2 linked regions of the Lepisosteus oculatus genome follow. The protein of the gene in region 1 purifies or fractionates together with the protein of each later gene. This does not show direct contact. Links are inferred from orthologs where the notes say so. Each region holds a gene or a part of one and is shown on either strand. Other genes may lie near its edges.

What was found. The genes of interacting proteins can lie anywhere in the genome.
Region 2: the proteins of cttnbp2nlb (region 1) and stk26 purify together in Homo sapiens (affinity purification with mass spectrometry; 4 studies listed by BioGRID and IntAct, with this or other methods). This does not show direct contact. The link is inferred for Lepisosteus oculatus from reciprocal best matches to the Homo sapiens genes CTTNBP2NL and STK26.

What each region holds. Positions count from the first base shown.
Region 1 is NC_090700.1:31,688,654-31,699,857, forward strand, and holds the start of cttnbp2nlb (CTTNBP2 N-terminal-like protein), read right to left. Parts: upstream 4,226-11,204; 5' UTR 4,144-4,225; coding exon 4,138-4,143; intron 1-4,137. UniProt on the Homo sapiens protein: Regulates lamellipodial actin dynamics in a CTTN-dependent manner. Associates with core striatin-interacting phosphatase and kinase (STRIPAK) complex to form CTTNBP2NL-STRIPAK complexes.
Region 2 is NC_090703.1:39,093,621-39,104,493, reverse strand, and holds the start of stk26 (serine/threonine-protein kinase 26), read right to left. Parts: upstream 4,107-10,873; 5' UTR 3,621-4,106; coding exon 3,579-3,620; intron 1-3,578. UniProt on the Homo sapiens protein: Serine/threonine-protein kinase that acts as a mediator of cell growth. Modulates apoptosis. In association with STK24 negatively regulates Golgi reorientation in polarized cell migration upon RHO activation.

The DNA of each region.
Region 1 (11,204 bases):
AGGCTCAATGTGACAACACTGTAAACAGAGGGATGGACATCCTTGGGGGACCTACCTCAGGAAATATTGGACAGTCTTCCTAGACCTGCCCTATCCACAAGGGAATCCTATGTCTATTACTACTGATCCAAGTGATTTGTAAATTTGTTTCTGAGTTTGCAATTACTTAAAGTGAACAAATTAACTCAATATTTCCTCTTTGATTTTTGTCACAGCTGACGATTTAAGATTAGTTATTCAATTTACAAATGTACTTGTCATGCTTTTTAGGACCTGAGAACTATGTAAAAATAGAAGCTCATGAGCAGCTTATCAAGTGAAGTTGTTCTTGATGGGGATAGGTTGAGACCTACTGTATACTCCAGACCCACATTTCAATTCTGGGGTGTGTTGCTAGCCAACTGTAATAACAGTTGACCTGGTCTGAGGGCCACTGGATTTGGTGGACTCTAGTCAACCATGGTAGCCTTAGCTTGTCATGCAACAGTGCCCCTCAGTCAACACTATATTGTCTGCAAGGTCCTGTGGAACTCACAGTGGAGCGTTTCAAAGGCTCATGTCTATGGGCAAGCAGCACAACTGGAAAAGTGGTTCAATTCCAGACCTGGGGTGCTATCTGCGTGGAGTTTGTATGTTCTCCCTGTGTTCATGTAGGTTAACTCCAGGTGCTCCAGTTTCTTCCCCATACTAGTAGGTTAATGGACTTTGGGGAAAATTGGCCATGGTGTGAGCGTGTTTGTGCCTGTGTGTGTCCCGCCCAGGGTGTATCCTGCCTTGTGCCCATTGCTTGCCAGGATAGTCTCTAGCTCCCCCATGACCCAGAATTGGAAGAAGCAGTAGGATAATGAATGGATGTGTACATTTATGGTTAAATAATAAATAAATTAGCAATTGGCAATTCCAAACAGGAAAAGCATAAAAGAAAAATATGCAGTTTAAAAATGGACATAAGACAAGCCTAATCGGATGTAACAGCTACAGTAATTAAGGATTTGATTAATAAAAAAGTGAGAGGGCACTGGAACAGATACAGAACTGCATTTAAGATGAAGTTCAACACCACCAAAGAAGAAAAGTGGAAAAAACATTTTAATAAAAGAGATATTTACATTCATTATGTAGTGGATCTTTCAGGTCATCATTGCATACTGATGGTGTAGAAGGCTTTTGACCCAGTGATCAACTAAATCTGGGCACACAGCTGCCCTACTGCTCCAGTGTGCAAAATGTTGTATGTTGCAAATATAGCTGAGAGGCTAAGTCTGGATGCTGTTTGGAGGTTGGCTAGGATTGACAACAGAAAAAGATAAGAATCCAAAAGGATCAAACAGGAGTCCACACAAAGAGGTAATGAATGCTCCCCAGGTGATCTGTGAAAATGCCAAGAATGAGAACAAAAGTGAAGAAGCAAGTTTTCAAAACTGATGAGGTCATTCCCCATGGACTTTTTTGCCCTTTGTTTTAACCCTTTGTGGACTGCAGCTATACCAGACTATCTTCTGCACAGGATAAACACAAGCAAGACTGCACCTAATGTCATGGTTTTATTTCTGGTGGTGCCTTTTGGGGGCTGGAAGAGAAGCCAGAATCATAGATTAAAACCAAAATATGGTCCTAAGTGGAAAGCAAGCTTGAGTGGTTAAACTTTAAACCACCTGATGACAGCAAAATAGCTTCAGGCCACATACTGTTCTAGCATGCACATAGTTACTAGCTGGGGAGCTGATAGATGAGGACAAATGATACCTCGCATTGAAAATAGTAAATATTGTGTTTTCCCATCCTTCCTACTAATGCGAAAATCTTGTAGGCTAGATCTTTTCTCTGGGTTAGTGTGTGCAGAGAGGTTAGGGTGACTCTTCCATTTTTCAAGCTAACTTATGTAGTGGTGGAAGTCTGATGATTTGGGGAGGAATTGGACTTTAAGACAAGAACACCATTGGAGAAGACTGATGGCAAATCCTACTGCACAGGTAAACATTGTCAAAGATACTTGAGCCAACAGCTTTTCCATTCCTGCAAGATACTCCAGAAGGGTCCATTTCCAGCAGGACAATGCGAGACCATGCAGTACTAGGATTACAATGACATGACTTCCAGAAAACAATGTTGCGGACTTGCAGAGGTCTTACAGTAACCAGCTATTTCTCCTCATCTGAGTCCAATAAAACATCTGAGGGACCAAGTTGCCACTGCCATCAACAACAGACAACTGCATCCAGCTAACCTTTTCCAGCTGGCTGCAGCTGCACAGGAAGAGTGGTGAGACCTCCCACAACCATCTGTCCAGAGGCTGATCAGGTGTGTGTGTCAGTGCTGCCAAGACTGTGTTAATGTTGAAGAGGGTCATTCCTGATCTTAACTTTGTAATGTTTTCAATTTTGACGATAACATAATTAATACTGAAAACAAATCACAATTTATTTAGTTAATTTTGTTCACAATATAAAATGATGCATGATAACTGTTTCTTTTTTTACTAAACCATTTGACTTGAAAGTTATTTTGTGCCTACTCACTACACTGTCCTGCTAGGTTTTACTATAACTGGGGAGAAGTGTGGGGCAGGAGAGGAAGTCTACTATGTGTATCACAGCTTATTGCTTATGAAGCTTTCTTTTTCAGCTTTGATTTCTAGTGGTGCAACACTTTCAATCATTGCGAGGGCAGCCCCATAACAATTAATTAAACATGGATTAATTGTCCATCAATTAAAGCTCCCAGCTCGTTCCGAGCCGCCTAATCAAGTTCACCGAGTTTACAAGTCACAACAGGATTTGGCACTCGCTCCAGTGATCAAGTGCAAATTCAAACCTAACAGCAGTTCTATTACACTGAAACGCCAACCCAACTATGAGAACCTAGGTCTTCTATGATTTTTAACTCGTGTCACCACTACTGTTTCTACAATAAAGGGGGTTTCCGAAAGTCCAGCAGCGCAATGTGTATCTAGGAGTAGGGAATTTCAGTAAGTAAATGGAGTCTGACATTTTAACTCTACCCACTCAGTGATCAGCTTTTTGAGCCCCTCCCGCACAGACACGAAACCCCAATTGGATGCCTAAGCCTTTTCACTGTAAACAGAAATGCCAAGAGAACCGTATCATACACGCAGGAGAAAAGAAAACAGAACCTTGCTAAAAGCACATCCGAAAAGAAAATCTCACGGTACGCTTACGCTGACAAACACCTTAAATGTGCGTGTCAACAGAATATTGTTTAAAAATCTGAACACTTGAAACAAATTCGGTGCTGTACTCCGATTTCAAAGCGAAGACTTTACTAGAAAATGTGTGAATTATTTAATGCCTCTGCCAATATACCCAGTAAAGTGCTGCTTTGTCCCAAGTTCATAACTTGCGAAGTGTGATTAAAAAAAAAACTTTCCCAAAGCGCGGCTTTGTGGAAGATTTGAGACTTGACGACCATGAATGGCTATTTTAACTGCTCTACGGGTCAGAAGCGCCTACTATAATGAAGCCGAAGAAGGGATATATTATTTAATTCTACCTCGGACCAGTACCCCCCAACCAAAGCAGTCTGTTAATAACCCATTTTAAAATAATATTGTCTATATATGATCTTATTCGTCTTCATCATTGTCCATATAGCCATCATTATTTGTATCACCGATAAAACCTGGTAGTGTTATAATATTGACACAATCTTATCCAACACCTCTGTTAAATGTGACATCTGAATTCAAATATTTCCAGTTAACTCAGTTGTATTGAACGTTTTATCTTTAAACAAAAACACCAGGTGCTATGTTTCATTATTATTCATAAACTTTTGGTTGTTGTATTGTTAAAATGTATCGTACAGTTTGGAACTGTATCGGAAACGTAATGTTGTAACAATATTACATAAAAGAAAACATCAGTCATTTGGAAAATATTTTGTTTTAAGATATCTGTTTAAGCAAATTCTTGCACACTTTTTTTTTTACTTTACCTGCCTTTCCGTTTTTTTAGTTGTTTTGTGGTTACCCTATTAAACAGACTTCTATAGGAAACGATTCAGGCTCCAGCTAACTTTGTAACTAGTCGGTCCATCACACCAGTACATATTAACAGTCTAGGAACGTATCGCAGTCAATTAAATAGATAATTCAGTTAAAAAGACATGAAAACATACCTTCATGCGTCCCGCTCCTGCTGCTTTAATTTTCCCATCCAAAAAGACAAAAAAAAATAGTTAAAAAAAATCTGACGGTAAATCCCAGCGGAAACTACGGACAGAATTGATTGATGGAATATTCAGCATATCCGCAAGAGGGATTTCCAAGGATCGGCCTATCAGAACCTCATCTGGGCGACAAGGGGCGGGGAGACAGGTTTGGATTAGTCTCTTTGTTTAGATTTTTTTTGCTAAATTCTGATTGATGAAGTCATTTCCTGCGTGTTCCTCGTGGCTACATTGTATCCTCCATAAATTGAAGGTGTTCTCCTTCAAGTTTACGTTTTAATTGTAGCAGAACCTAAATCTCTGAAATTGCTACATTTCTTTATAATCTGACAGTTCGGGGATATTAAGACTCAAGCAGCACTCTCTAGCAGTAGCGTGGAGCAACTTTAAACTTTATCTGTTGGAAAGATTAAGAATTACACCACGGGACGGTGTGTAATTAAAGAAATCGAGCCGCAAGAAAAGTCTTAAAGTCTTAAAAACACTTGCCTCCAAGATCTAGTGACACTTTACGCAGTCATCCTCCGGGAAAGATGCGGTCTCAGGGGAAATCCAGTCTCCATGGGGATTCGAGATGGGCCCCTTATCTCTTTAGTCATCCTGGCATACTGTCTATATACAGTACACTACAGATGTATGTTTCATATTAAGAATTTAAATAGAAGCCTCTTTCTAAAGAAAGCGACGGACTTTCCTGAGTTATTTTCCGATGTCGTTTACTTCAAATTTAACCGGAGTTAAAGTTGAAAATTCTTCAAACAGTGAACCTATCAGTATCAGGATCTATTAAAAACCACTTTAACGTTGGTAAAACACACTACAGACTACAAGGACATGAGGCAGTGGAAAACAGTGAACTGCTCAGTTCTGGGATGGGAGTCCTCAAAGTGAAATCAGGTTTGTGGTCTCAGTGGACCACTAGGTGTTGCCCTATCCTCAGTACCAGAATTTCCAAACTAATTTCCCCATCTTTTGTTGAGCGGTGAGATTGTGCTGTTTCGGGCGAGACGTTCAACCAAATTTCTGACTATGATCACTGTCAAGATAGTTACGTTAAACCAGGAGTTTCGGAAAAATGCCATTCTGGGTTTGTTAGGGTTTTCATATTTACATTGTGGCTGCTGGTGCACAATGGCTACAGTGCGTCACCCATCATATCACCCTGCAATGCCAGCAGCCATATCACCCTGCAACTCACAACTGGCAGCCCACTGAAGCTCAGCAGGTGTGAGCCTGGTCAGTACCTGGATGGGAGACCTCCTGGGGAAAAACTAAGGTTGCTGCTGGAAGGGGTGTTAGTGGGGCTAGCAGGGGGCGCTCACCCTGCGGCTCATGTGGGTCCTACTGTAATGCCCCAGTGTAGTGACGGGGACACTATACTGTAAACAGGTGCCGTCCTTCGGATGAGACGTAAAACCGAGGTCCTGACTCTCTGTGGTCATTAAAAATCCCAGGGCGTTTCTCGAAAAGAGTAGGGGTGTAACCCCGGCGTCCTGGCCAAATTTCCCATTGGCCTTTATCAATCATGGCCTCCTAACAATCCCCCTCTATGAATTGGCTTCATTACTCTGCTCTCCTCCCCACTGATAGCTGATGTGTGGTGAGCGTTCTGGCGCACTATGGCTGCCGTCGCATCATCCATGTAGGGCTGCACATTTGTGGTGGTGGAGGGGAGACCCCATTACCTGTAAAGCGCTTTGAGTGGAGTGTCCAGAAAAGCGCTATATAAGTTTTAGTTAGCAAAACAGGATATCAGGATATGTAATTATATTGAATATACGTCTTCTGTGAAATTCAGTTTTAAATGGAAAACTAACGTTTACACAAAAAAGTCCGACCTATATAAAATCGTATATAGGTAGCGACTTACGACACTCTTGTCTAACACTCTTGTAAGCTACGAACCTTACAGTTACACTGTTAATACTGTACCTTTACAAGCTGAACAGTGAATACTCGTGGCTCGGGCCGCTGCGCATTGTTTCTCCCAAACGTCTGGTTCATAAACAATTGTACCTCAAGAGCATGAAAGAGCTGTTTGGTAGATTTTTGTTTCCATCGACACCATTTACAATTCTCGTACTGCCCTAAAGTTGAGTTTTTCATCGACATATCATTAAGTCTTTCCCTAGCCAGCAGAAAGACTACTGTACCTCCGCTGCATGATTAGCAGATATACTGTAGGCATGAGAACATTATGCGATGAGAGCAAAACTGGAATTCAGACGCCCTCTGGTGGACATAAGGACGTACGGTAAGGTAGACGTCAGTATTTCCCGCACTTCGAAAGAAGCATTTCTAGAATAAACTGAACCGTTGAATTTAATTAGGTTTTTGCACATTTTACTGTCGCTAATGCGGTTTTGTAATTTCCGCACATACAGAAATCAGCAGATATGGAAAACACTTTGGTTAGTTGGTAGCAAAAAAAAAAATAACTCTTTCTTGGTTTGATTTAAACACAAACTTGAATTGTACACCTGTTAGCTCTGGAGCCATGAACTTCACAGTGTACTCAAAATAGAGCTTAATGCTTTTTTACAGTTGATTCTAATCTTTTGAAAGGCTTCAATGAGTTTAAATTTGGTGTGGACAAGACACAATTCTGAGGAATGGGGGATTACAACCCATTCCTGTGTAACAGCATCCCAGGAAAAGGGTGTACTTGGATTGGATTTAACCATCAGTGACTGATCCAAGGCAGAGAAATATGTTCTATCCAGGCGAGAGGGACAGTCCCAGGGCTGTGGCAGTGTCTGGCTCTCTGGAGTGGGAGAATCCCAGTACCCCAGAAGTGTCTGGCTCGCTCCGGCAGGAGACTGTCCTGATGCTCTAGCAGTATCTGGTTTTCCAGTTGAAAGGGAGAGTCCTGGTGCCCATGCACTGCTCTAGCAGTGTCTCTGGAGTCACGATATCCTAGCTGGAGTCTGGACTGGTCTGGAGTTCCATTTTGGCCAAAATAATGTCAAAGCCAGTGGTCTTCAAAATAAGTATAGATTCTTCCCAAGAACATCTTTACACTAGCAAAGAGCTCATTAATTCAGGACATGGGGTCACAGTCCATTAGCTACTTCTGGTCCTGAGACACAAAATTAAAACTCACCTAAAAAATTAAAACTGAAACGTCTTCTAAAGCTGAAAACGCTAGTGATGTTTGAGCTGAAACAAGTTTTTGAGTGAGTAATGGCCTTTGCCACTCTTTGATATACTAATTAGGCACAGCAGGAATATTAATATTTATGCCAAGGTTTTCTTTGTGCTTTATTATGAAACCTTTCATTCATAGGAACTTGAAAAAAGTATCCTGGGGCACTTTTGTAATTGAAAGAATAACAGCTCTTTGTCAGTTCATAGTTACCATGAAGTGGTTTTCACGAAAACAGCCACGTTAATGCTGTATTAATTATTCTTGAGCTTAAAATTATTATTTTTTTTGCTTTTGCCTTCAGGAGATGAAAAGTGATTAAAAATAATTTTACTGATTTGTTTTTATTTCTGACACTAAACATCACACTATGAAAACATTATTTTAATTGCCTTCCGTAGGAAAAAAAAACTGTCACGTGTCAATACACTATGGCAAAGTTCAAAAGGACTGCCAAAGCGAGATTCTTGATCTTTCAGAGAAGTGCTTTAGAAAATAAACTGGATTGACAAATTCTCAGTTACCCATGACATTAAGTCTACACAACCCTTCTAAACATCTGCTTTGGTAAATACTAGCAGGCTGCTGTCATAGTTGAGTGCAGTAAAGCATGTTGATCAAAGCTTTGCAAAGACAGAAAAACTGCACAAGTCACATGCAGTACATTATTTAAACATAGTGAAACCCCCCTGTTCTTTTTACCCTTATCTTATTATTCTTATTATGCAAGCGATTAGCAGCAAATTCACAGACGTCTTCATGCACCAAGCTGTTGAAGTTGTGGAGATGGACTAGCTCCACTGTCAATATCCTATGATTATCATTAATTTCTATTCTGTTAATCACCCTAAGAAATTCTTAAAGACATTAATTTTGACATAAATCCATTCACTCATTTTCTAATCACTGTCTCCAGTAAAGGGTCACTGGGGAGCCAGAGTTTATCCCAGCAAGCAATAGGTGCAAGGCAGGGTACAACGTGGACGAGATGCCAGTCCATCACAGGGAACACACACAAGCACTGACAATGGGGCCAATTCTCCCAGAAGCCAATTAACCTACCAGGATGTCTCTGGACTGAGGGAGGAAAACGGCGCACCCAGAGGAAACCTAGAAAACATGGGGAGACCATACAAACTCCACACAGACAGCACCCCAGGTCTGGAATTGAACCCAGGGCCCCAGCACTGTGAGGCAGGAATGCTAACCACTGTGCCTCCCCCTTCAACATAAATAACTTTAATAAAAGATCTAAAAAGAAGACAAACAATATTGTTCTCTTCAATAAAAAAGGTCATTAATTGTAGTCAAAACTCAAATGTGGCTGGTTAACAATAATGATAGACCCAACAACAGCTCACCAACCAATTTTGGGCCAGGCTAATTAACTATCATTGTCAGCCCCATGATTGCCTACTATATGGTACAGTACACAACTTCAAAGTTCACATCTGTCGAAGGAAGATGCAGGATACAAAGAGCTCTTGGACACAGACAAGCCAGTTTATTTGACGAAGGAAGCTGAAATGAGAAATAGCTCAGGTGTGCAATTCGGGATGCGCACCAATGCCAATATTCCTCTTGGTCCAACCAAGGTCAATCAGGAGAAACAATGACGGCTTACAATAGCGGAGAACGATTTTTCTGGTGGTAGAAAGTTCTGCGAGTAAAGATTTATTTTCATAAGGCAGGCCTTTTAAAAGTTATATTATCAATTTCACGCCACTCAAAAGTCGAACGCTTCACAGCCCCTGGTCGCGTGTATAATGCGGACTGGTGTCCATCATAATGAACAGAAAATTACCAAGTTACTCTTCTGCGGAAAAGACGCTGACCCTCACACAGTTATTCATTAAGCAGAACCAGCGGTCATTACGAGAAGAGCTCATAAGCAGTCGTATCTCACCTTTTTTATATTCACAAGCTTGTTTACAGACACAGTCACGGCTCATTTGCGCCCCGCGGCGTCCCTACTGAAGAGCACTCGGTTGCGCTTTATCCTTACAGTAATTCAGCCCCACTACAGTACAAGCTGCTGTATGTGGGGTTTGTGCTTTATTTTTAAATTAACCAAGGTAACCTTCTGAATTGCAACATAGAACTAAATATACTGCTGACCGTCGCATCTGGGTTTTCTTTTTATATCTAGAAATACAGCAAGTATACAAACTCAGTTGACGGTTAAAAAAAAAGATTGTAACGTCTGCGTTGTAACGTCGAATTCCGCAAATACGGAAAGCGCCGGTCAAAGCCACTGGGCGGGTAGAATGATATTGCAGTGCTAAAGCCAAGATTAAAATGAGTTGTCATAGGGCACCGACGCTGAAGCATTAATCAGAAAATCACAACTAAAATGAAATCGCGTGAACCAGGTGAAAATTGCTGTAATTGTATCGTGATACTCTACCGAAGCGTCAAGTCCTTGATTGACATACAACGTTGGTTCTGGAGAGGCACGGTCCAATTGTTTTGTAGGTCACCATTAAACCGAAGCTGAAAGACATGCAGCAATTCTGCTGTGATAAATTAAATTAAACAGGTGCTTTTTAAAATTATGTAATTCATTATCTTAAACTGGTGACCAGTGAAACTAACTGGATCGGGACTCTCCGGGATTCAGCTCTGTTTTATTTAGCTAGGAGTGCCCTATTACAGAAACTTCAGAACCTTGGATCAGTTTTGTTCCATAAACTCGCGACTCTTTGTATTGTGAACTTTTTCATAGCTTCACGGTTGATTCCCATTATCATGATCATGCACACTAGAGGGACATATAAAATTTAATTATAACACATATTTGCCTTACAAAGGCAATACGATGTTTCATTGTATTGTTAGAAACGAACAAAGAACATATTAGGATTTGCGCTCTAATTTTGTTTAAAATATCAAACTGTACTGTGAATTATGAACATTGAATTGTGTTATTGCCAGTTTATTTGGTATTTTATGCGATTATTTTGTTCCACTTGTGGTGTTATAAAACATTTTAAGATTTAATATGTCATTAAAACGTTTAAACGTGAGGGTCGTACAGAAACATTTACGTACAGAACAAAATGCATTCCTAGCTCTGAAAGAAACTGTACCTTGAAAGTCCTTTCAGTACCTAATTTTAACTAGCCCTTAGTGAGGATGATTTTCCTCTTTGAGGTGCATCCTTTCAGACAAGCTACCCTTTCTCTGGCGTCCCTTGAAATTAATGTGACCTTTTAGACTGCAAATACTGGCCGAGAGAAAGCGCAAAAAAATCCCCCCAAAAAGCAACAACAAATTCAGCAAAAGCTATCGACATTTCAGACGATGTCAATGGCTGTCCGTAGAGAACTGTAAAGCTATCCCTTCCCCACACCGAGCCCAGAACATTCCTATCAACAGAGTAGACTCCCGGACAAACTTGCTCACTCACAATTTTTCAGGCTGGGGACAATTATGCCTTGTTATAGGCAAAGTGCCCAGACTAGTCACTGACCGAAAGCCAATTTAGTTTGACATTCCAGAGAATTAGATATCTGTAAAGTTGCTGAATTTCTAAATATTCATCTGATTAGAAAATTAGGTCTCCAAGTAAATTAACAGTTTAATACACTATTCAGTTGGCAAATTGCATAACTCAGTACTGTACATGTAATGCTTTTTGTGCAACACAGATTTCTTCTGTTTGCGAATGGAAGCAAACGATTGGATTTTAAAAACTTTAAATTAGGTTTAGCAAATTCCAACTACAAATTCTTTATAAAGTAAAATAGGAGCAATAAAATGACTGCTTACATATGTCTAAATCTAAGCTTGTTAAAGTTTTTTTTCCAATTTGGACTAGACATGTGGCAGATGTGAACAAGCTCCTGCCAAAACATACATACAGTATGTT
Region 2 (10,873 bases), on another chromosome or scaffold:
TTGTATTGATGGATTTTTTTTAATTACACGCAAAAAACTCTTGGCTTATTAATGGAATCATGTGTTTCTACAACAATCTTATATTCATTACTTCATTTTCTTTAACAACCTCGACTTGTTTACTAGCAAATATCAAGATTTGGTTCCAAGGGGCGACACTTAAGAGCTATGAGATTATACACTATCGTGGCTGTTGGCAAGCAAATGATCATGCAGTCTCTTATTATGAACCAGCGTTTCAATTTGAATTCTTGTGTACATTTTGTCTGCACTCATAAATTTGTTTGGCCCGGCAGTACTGATTTTTAGGCAGGTAGCCTATCTGGCTCATATACAGCCAAAGGAAACCCTGGCATACATACTGAAATGGTGAAGGATTTCATTGTTTGCCGTTTTCAAGATCATAATCAATTTATTTTCAGAAAAGGATACTTGCCTACATTGCTGCCAGCAATGTTACCTTCAAGGGAGAGGTACACTTTCATTTTCTTCAGCATACATACAGTACAGTATATACTAGTCACATGAACCCCTGATTATAATTTTAAAACAATTGCAAATGATCTCCAAACATATTGTAAATTTCAAATGACTTGTGCTTTTATAAATATACAGTATATAAAACTTACAATCTCCAGTAGTTTTAGAGCTGGAAAAATTCAAAAGGACCAAAACAGCAAATTACTTTAATTAATGGTTCAATAGCTCAGTTGGAATAAAGATCAGAAGTTGGATTCCACAGACCAGGATTGGTAATCCTGGTTACATACCATACAGATAATGTATTAATTCTTGTCATATTTTGCAGTTTTCAAATAATTCTGGAGCTCCACTCTGAATGACTTACAGTCCTACTATCTGTCCCTTTTCAAAAGCTTTACTATTATTCTGATACATACTTACTGAAGTTGAAAAGGTTCTTTTAAGTGAATTTACCGTCTTTAAGCAGGTATTGATTTCAAAAAGTACCTATAAACTCAGCTGGGCTGCCTGGAAGTAATGGGGAAGATCAGCTCTTTGTGGACACCTGAGATAAGATATGAGAGTTTATTGTGCAGATGGAGGACGGGGAGAAATTAACTGATTGTGAGCAGTTGGGTATTTGAGGCTGTCCAGATGGTGATCAAAAAGCACACAAGGCTTGCTCTATCCTAAAGTGTACAAAAACAAACGATCAGGGTGCTGTCCTTCTCCTGTGTCCAATTAAACTAATTCCCTGGAACCTGGAACTCCCCCTTTGAAAATATGTGCCGGGAGCAGGTTGCAAATACTTCAGGTTTCCAGATGTTTTCAATGCACTGCGAAAGGGCTCTGCTCCTCAATGGAAGGCCAAGGAGAATACTACAAATCACCTACCCATGGTTAGACAGTTCTTTGTAATAATCATTAATAATCATGCGTTTAGTGCAGACTAGGATGTCTATTTACTGTATGTACAGCATACATGTATACCTTAAGTCTTGCTTGATACATGATTTACTTAAACCATTATCAGGCTCGCTTCTACACCTACACCTTTGTAAAATGTACTGTTCTGTTTAAACAAATTCTAACACCTGTTAATTATATTCTCAGTCTGGCAGGGGGTCAGAGAATTTATTTAAAGTGATAGCATTAAATTAAATAGCTGTTCTATCCTAGGCAAAGCACAGCTACCAGCTTCACTCCCCACCGTCAAACAAGGACAGGGGAAAGGTCTCTCATACACAATTAAATTAGTAAAAAAGACTGGTGACTATTTCATGAAAAGGCTCACATACACACAAAACTAATTTCCAGGAGTCTAATCCACCATGGGCATGCTATTACATTATTACAGACAGGGAAAGGGTTTATCATAAACGGATTTAAATGATCAACTTCAAGAAGAAAAACCTGAAGATTCACAGCTGCTTTCACTTTCTTTTTTAACTGAATGGTAATTATAGGAAAGGGGCACACCTAAATCATAAAACAGATTGGGCATGTTGCTGTTCTCTAATCCAGTAATAAATCTCAAGCCACTCCTTAGCTACAGTGTCCTGTAGCTTGTAACTGCCCAGCAATGAGTAACTCCAATTAGTTTCAGGGGCAATGACTCAACACAATCCGATCAAACTGAAGACCATAAACCATTCGTAAAATACAACACCAAATAAAAATTCTTAAATGCAAGCCATTTACACTGCTGTAATGACCATCTTAATAACGCTGATTGGCACTTCAGTACCTTATTTGGAACTGTCAGATCAACTTAACCAAGATGAGGGTATTTCTCCATCTATAACAAGTGGATCTTCCCCATTAATTATTAATAATGGGTGTGACTAATGAATGCCTGGTCAGCAGAAATAATTACACCTGTTGGGTGTGTGAGGCTTAAAACTTTACCAGGGCTTACAGATTGCTCTTGTGGTTTCTCTTAAACTCCACAATGCTCGCTTAAGTGTGCCCGGAGGTGGCTAGGTTTTACAGTATACAGGGAATTCAAACTGAAACGACTAGCCAATGCTTCCGGCTGGAAGGCAGACGTCCACGGACGGTTGGAAAGTGTGTGGCAAAACATTCGTGAAAAAAAGGAAGCCTACGTAATTTTAACTGTCCTGGATCACATGTACCAAGGGCAGACAAGCAGACACTAACATGCCCGGAGACTCGCTATAAGCACGTAACTAGTACCTTAAAGCCCATTTAAACATTGCCTGCCCGCTCTGTAATAAAACGTAGGAACAACGTCTAACCGACACATTCTTCATCGACAACAGTAAAACAATAAAAATACGTCACAACGATAAATAAAAACTACATTTTTGTTGGGATTTCAGTTCCGATTACATTAAACCTGTACTTGACATTTGAATTACAACCATTCCTGTGCTTTTAAGGTACATTAAGTACCAGTTAATCGTACCCTGTACTACTACCGAAACACCTGAATCGTCTCTGTTTACAGCGATCATAGTGCACAAATGTATAATGCAAACCTGTACCATCACGACAAATAGCAGGGTTTATTTTGTCCTCTCTTCTTCACTAAGGCGCACACAGCCAACTTGACAATACGGAAGATCCTAGCTAATTGATTTGTACGTAAAGTTTTAGACCAGGCTAAAATTAACGGCTGGCCGAAGTTCAAAAACAGGAGAAAAGGAGGCGACTCTAAAACGCAGCAAGTTATTTTCGGCGCAGATAAATCGCACAGTTTAATCACAAAGGCTGCATGACCACAGAAGCCGAGAGAAACTTCAAAGTTCACAAATACATTATGGGGATGCGCTTGCGTTGCCAATATTTTAGAGTACGCGAGTGATCGGCTAATCTGTGTGGTTTAGACCCATTGAACAAGAATAATTCTCGTTTCCCGTTTTGTACCACGGTGATGATTCAGAAACCGAACCGTTGAAAACAAATTTTAAAATGACTGTGATAACGCCACGGCTTTGGGCTTTTGTTTAATAAAGCCAGGGCTAGCAAACTGGCTGCCAATCCGCCGGTTTGAAGCGCTCGGAGTCAACAGGAGCCGCATATGCGCAATTCCTGTGCTGTGTGGGCAATTTCCAGTGCCGTAGGTGAAGTTTGTATAACGAGGCCTTACTTACCTGCATCCCTGGCACTTGGACTGCTACCGGCGAGTGGGCCATCTTCACGTCCAGTCCAAAATGATATATTTTCCCCCAAAGCAGCGCTATATTCTCCTTTTAGCCTCTCTCCTGCTTTTAGGCTGCACCAAGCAAATAAACGAGGAGCAGCTGTCGCAACGCTGTGCGTGCCTGAAAGTTTTCTCACTAGTATTATTATTCCCTTACATACACTGCAGCTATCCCCCCGCTTAACTTTGCTTAAGCCTAGACCCCTCTTCACTGCTAGTCTGCCCAAGCTCCCATGCCTTGTCGGCTGATTGTCAGTTCACTGCGCCCTTTTGCTTTACGGTCGCTTTTGTGACCTCCTAGGTGCTGTTCTCGTGTTTTCTTCACGAAGCAACACTTGAACAGCATCTCAGAACTGAGATGCAAACGCCATGTTTGGCTTCCTAAAGTAGCTACTTGCTCGCTGTGTTAAATTGGGTGGAGCCGTGTTATTGAGCCAGAGTCAACACACACCACATTCACAGACGTCATCGCTTGCCGCTGCTGCTAGGGACTACAGTGTGTGCGGGATTGCGAGAGGCGTGTTTTACCATTATACCTTGCTAACGTAGCGCTTCCCGACAGGACAGGCCTGATTACAGTGCACATCAGTTACTGCTTGATGTGCCCTTCTCTCATCGTCTGTAAGAGTCGCACTTCAAGGCTTTCGGCGATACGAGCTCGACACAAACAACGATAAATATTGTTTAGCAGGCCGTTTCACAGTTCTTTTTTTTAAATAGCAATGATTTAGTTAGTGGTCATTTAAACTGAATTAAAGTTTTGAATTAACAGCCGTGGTACTTTAAGACACCAAGAAGGACGCAAACTTGAGTTAAGATTTCTTTCTCAGTTCTAGAAATGCTCTGCAGCTAAAAAGTGATCGAATATGCCAGAAAAGGGAGCAACTGGGGGATTAAAAATAAACCCACATTTTGATGAGCAAAAGAGTTCGTCTGAAAGGATGTACAACGTTGACAAATACATTTTATGTATGACAAAAAACGTTGAGAGATTATTGGGATTTTTGTATAAAAGGGGACACAGTGCATGAACTAACATTACTACGAAACATTACATTTCATTAATCAAAGGTGTCAGGAAATAAAATATTAGGAAGAAAGATTTACTCTTCAGCTAAATCTAAAACTATTGCTCTCGTTTTCGTTTTAGTATTGATGTTTTTTAGGCTCAGGCTTTCCCCTCAATCCATATGATATTTTTTACATTTCACCAGTTTTATTTTTTTCTATTTTTTCGGGAGCACTAATTTATTTTTTTACTGCTTCGCCTTACTTCCGTTTTCCAAACGGTATATAAGCAAATCTTCTATAAAGATACTGTACATGGTCACACCTTTCTCATTAAAATACTGTACATTGATTTACTTTTATTACATTGATAAGATTCATAATGCCTTATTTTAAAAATATTAATGGAAGTATAAAACAGCCCGCCACCTGCTTCCATTAAATCCCAGTTAATTAAAATTCCAGTGAATTAAAAGAAGTTAATGTATCGAGAAGCATGGCAGTTCTGAACCTCTTGATAGAATAATTGTCTTTTATCTTTGTTGATGTTTTGGTTGGATTTTATTTTTAAAAGGACTTGTGGAAGAGATTTCCCCCTGTATCCAACCTGCTCCATGGTGTTTGCTTGATCCTCATCATACCCCGCTGTTACGAGCCCAGCGGTAAGGTGTGTTTCTTTTGTACAGACAAGCAGCACACACCTGTCTGATCTGAAGCCAAAACTGTCAAGTACAGGCACAACAATATCTGTACGAGAAGAAATTGAGAAACCCACATTATTATCTTCATCCTTTAAAAATTATTTAAAGACGTCAAGGCAAAGTAGGTTGTATGACTACAAAGGACAGCTCACAAGCTGGTCAACACAGCAGGAAATGTGAATGTCACAGCGAGGTCAGACTAAGAAATGTCTCAGTAAGATACGTTTAAGAAAAAAGGCTTAGTTCTTACTCATAATTAAAGATACTATCAGAGAATAAAATACTCTCTACGTTTAGCACTGGAACAAAAGCATCTGACATCAGTTTGGGGGCATTCGTGTCCTATGAACACAGTAGAATGAAGAATGAGGACTCCTAGAGGTAGGAGATGGGACTGCAGCTGGGCTCTAATTGATTTTAAGTACTAGTGGACTTCATTATCATACAGTACTGTGACAGTCCAGACTGAGTGAAGGGTTCAAAGGTCTTGTGAGTATGCTTAATTGCCTGTTCATGGTGCTTGTAATGTTAAGTGTTAGTGGCCCATATGCTTACAAAGTATCTGTCTGTATAGCAGAGTCTGGGGGTTTGTACCTCACCCTAGACATTTAGGGGACTAAAAAAAGCAAAGACCCATCTTCTCATTCTTCTGAATTTATGTGAGCACCGTCAAATCCTCCAAAACACTCATCTAAAAGTACAAACCTTCGTTTTTTGCGTTTCTAACGCACACCATATCCTATTATAAAGATACTTATAATATAATATATCAGCTGCCATATCACCCTGCAACTCACAACTGGCAACCCACTGAAGCTAAGCAGGTGTGAGCCTGGTCAGCACCTGGATGGGAGGGGGTGCTCACCCTGTGGTCCATGTGGGTCCTAATGCCCCAGTATAGTGACGGGGACACTATACTGTAAACAGGCGCCGTCCTTCGGATGAGACGTTAAACCGAGGTCCTGACTCTCTGTGGTCATTAAAAATCCCAGGGCATTTCTTGAAAAGAGTAGGGGTGTAACCCAGGTGTCCTGGCTAAATTTCCCATTGGCCCTTACCAATCATGGCCTCCTAATAATCCCCATCTATGAATTGGCTTCATTACTCTCTGCTCTCCTCCCGACTGATAGCTGATGTGTGGTGAGTGTTCTGGTGCACTATGGCTGCCGTCACATCATCCAGGTGGATGCTGCACATTGGTGGTGGTGGAGGGGAGTCCCCATTACCTGTAAAGCGCTTTGAGTGGAGTGTCCAGAAAAGTGCTATATAAGTGTAAGCAATTATTATTATTATTATTATTATATTGTATAATAACACTCGTACGCCACCTACAGCCCAACGAAGAAACAGCACAGGCTACATCAAGTATCAGTGCATTAGTACGGATCTAAAACAACGCCACTTCCGAAAACAAATGTTAGGTTTTAAACGTTTGTCTCCATCTGCTGGTTGATGACGGTACAGTTCAAGAAGTACAGTATGTTTTATTGTGAATGACAAAACAGCAATTTAAGACAGTAACATTATAAACTGCATATGTTTTTAGTATTGTATTAGTTAATTATATATTCTATGGTGAGCTGACTGGAGAATGTGGTGGGCTGTGGAGACGTTTGTTAAATAACTTTAGCGTTTTTGCCTCAGAATTACCGCTTTGATTCTGTTCTTTCAGTAATGTCTGGTCTTTGGAGGTGGAATGAAGTAACATGTTTAACTTAAATCACAATGAAAAGGGAACTCCCTGCCTGACAAACTCTCCAACCGCTCGCATCTCCTTAACAGGACTGCGTCGTGCGTTTAACAGCTGAAGATGTGATTTGAAGCACGCAATTCTGTGATTACGCTCTGCTGGCATAAAGTCAAAATTAAATAGCATGGTCGCATATAGAGAAAGAACAGAGCCAAGGAATATTTGCATTATTCTTCTAAATAGAATATAAACGTCAAATCCCCAACTGAACCTGATGTCTACAGTAGTTCAGACGACAGGTTGTTTGTACAGTATGTCCAATTTATTAGGGGGCTTAGCAACAGAGTTCCTGAAGACCTATTTATTATTATAGATTTTGTAGTGAAAAATAATTTAATGACTATAAAATCCCTATAATTAACCAATGAAACATGCTTTCATAATTCCATTGGCAATAGTAACAGGTAAAAAGGTCAGACTCTAGGTCACAATGTGGTGACCATATTAGATTTTTTAAAAAACATTTCCATTATTCTGACTGTGCCTTGTCTTGCACGAATAACCTTAGCAAAGTTTTCCTTTTATTAAACTTACATTTTAAAACAAGGGTCTTGAACCCTGATTCTAGGCAGCCCCAATTCAGGAGGTTTTGTAAGTCACCATTAAATTACCAATTTCTAAAGCCATAGATCAACTGCGATAGATTAAACAGGTGATTTGAGAAATTAAGCGATTTAATGATAAAAATTAAGTATTCTTGATTGAGCAGATTCATTTTTTGATTTATCACCTGCTTTGTTTTGAAAGGGGGTAGTTGCAACCATATTTTCTAAAGTTCGGTGTAAGAAAGAATATTTCAAACCATAATAAATGTAAAATGTACACAGTAACTTTCAAACCTCCAACCTACATCAAATAGACTAAATTTCCAGGTGCACCCAGTCATATTCTGCAATTCAGAATGAGGCAACAAAACAGCCAATGACATGAACCAGCCCTATTACATTGTTAACTAGCAGGCTTGTGAATACATCTCTTGTAATCCAACAGAAATATTGCTCTCTATTTCGAGACGGTTTTGCCGACAAATAGTACTTACTTGTTAACTCTGCATGCAGACCACGTTGGAACACTTCTGCCGAGAAATGTCTGCTACACAATCTGTATGTATGCGTTCTTACTGTACATCATATTACATTAGTCATTACAGTGACTAGTGAGCAGGAAGGGCTGCATCACATCACAATTCTTACAAAATCTCGCTCTTGTCTGACGGTGAGACCAGGGGTTTGCAACAACATGGAGACTTACAGTACTTTCACAAAGTTAATGAATTTGGAATTCGAAACTTGTAATTTTTTTTCCATGCTGTCAATGAATTTATTTTGTTACCGAGATTTAATAATAGCTCTCAGAAATCGAGACTTCAGTTTCCCTTTAAAAATAGGGGACCACAGGTTTGGAGACCCCTGTTCTAAACGAATAGACACCACAAATTTGAACAGTACACAAGTTTCATAACTAAGGGTCATACAAAATATTAAGATAAAGCACTAAGTTATGAGGTGAAAAAAATCACAATATAAGGCACTTTTTCAATTTCATAGCCCCTCCAGCACAGCAGTTTTGTGCTTTGTATTGAACAAAGTTCAAAGTCAGGTAATGTGCAGGTTTGTAGTGTAGTTCAGTGGAGGTAGTTAGTGGAGGATAGGGGAGAAGGTTAGGACTGGAGCTGCTTCTGGATACCCTACACCCTCCTGGAACGTTTTCACATGGAAAAACAGGAGGACTTTCCTACAGTCCTATATATTCCTACTTTCCAAATATATGATATTTGTCCTTCAGTTGCAGTAGGTGCCATCTATTTTCTAACTAGTTTATCCACTCCAGGGTCATGGGAAAACTGGAGCATATTTCATCGAAGAACGGACATGATACAGGATACACACTGGATGGGATATCACCCCGTTATAGGGCACACACAGACACACTCACACAACTTATGCTCACCCCAGGGTTCCAGAGTTAAGTTTTCCAGAAACCAAATAACCTACCAATATGTTTTGAATGAGTATGACTGTGGGAGGAAACCAGAGCACCCAGAGGAAACCTGTGTAAACACAAGTACAACTTACAAGCTCCCCACAAATAGTACCACAGGTCTAGAATTGAATCCCAGGCCCCAGCACTGAGAACCAGCAATGGTAACTACTGAGCTGCTGCCCTGCCCTGATAGCTATACCAAAACCCTTTAACTCATTTTCTACATGACTGTAACACTAGTTTACTGCATTCCTTCCACAGACAGGAGATGGCACTGTGGGCTTATTAAAGCGAAAGTTATGTTTGGTTTTGAAAACAGCAAACAAGTATTTTGGAAGTAATTAAAGCTAGTGTTGCCTGATGTAAAGCATTTTACCAGCTAAATAGACAAGCTTCCTGATGTTTTAATTAAAGATGTTTTCCTCCCCATTGAACCTCCATTGTCTACAGCCATTACATAGAATTCTAGTTCCACGAGAAAGGTATTTCCCATTCAAGGCTTGCTTGTGGTAAAAAGTAATTGACTGTTCTCTCTCTTTCACTTGTAATCTTTTTACCTGTCCTAACAGTGAAAAGCCTGTAACTTGTACATCTGTGTTTTTCCAGTGGAAAAAAAAAACACAGCTTGTCTTCAAGAAGCCAATGTCACAGCCTCTTTGAGCAAACTAAACTTACTGAGGTATTATGTGAATTGCTTTTGGACAAATATGGAAATAAGCAGGAAGTACATGCTTCTTAAAAAAACTCCAGGGATTCCCCAAGGTATAAAGGATATCATTGTGAGCAGGACATTAACCTTCTAATCAACTCGCATCACATTTATGTCTAAAGCAACACCTTTACCTTTAGGGAAAGCCTTTCTTTAGAATATGAATATTCATATTCACTGCACATCCTTCCTTAAGGATTTGCTCTTTGTTTAAAATTACGGAATGAAACGAAATTACAGACTGAAACAAAACTGTGCCTAAAAGAAACATTACCCTTTTGTTTAGTCACAAACGCTAAGAAAGATAAGAACTGAGAGAGGCCCCTCGTGTTTGTTTGGTTACATTTTGTTATTCAAACCAAGACTTCAGCCATTTTTTTTATTAAATTGTAGTAGTTTATAACCATGATAGCTCTGGTTTTACTATATATAGCATTCTCTTCTAGTAGCACTATAAAGAAAGATCTGAGCTCCAGAGGGTGAAGATTACAGGCTCTACAAGCCACAGTCCGAAGGGGAATTGGAAAGAAAAGCTGACGTGATCCCGAGGGATCAGCACTTCCCCATCAGGCCCCGCATTTGATCTTGATTTCCTGCCAACCCAGGAAATGCGCACGTCAGCAAACTAAATCTGCAGTGGGTCTGAGGGAGGCTCTGGATTTTCTAGAAGCAGTTCAACAGAGGCAAAAGTGACAATGTTACAGTATGTCACACCACCCATTAACTTAACATAGGAACTTAATGAATGTCTGAGAAACCGGAAAGCAGCGATGTGACATTTTCCATGAGGTGAGGAATGCATTTTGCAGTAAAGGCAACTATTGAAGTTATTCAAACCAACTAATGACATAAACAATCTACATTTGATCAATAGGTTCATTTTCTGAGAAACCTGTACGGACGTCACTAGAAGTAGACTGAACAGGCCAAATACTCTTAGAATGTAAAAATCCAAATAATTATAGAAACCACAACTGAGTACCTCCTAAAAGTTTTATGATGTTGGTTGAACCCTGCAGTAACCACAGTCAGCTTTGCTAAGATGAATTGCTGCTTTTTCCGCTTCAATACACATGAAAGATTAATCTTTCTAC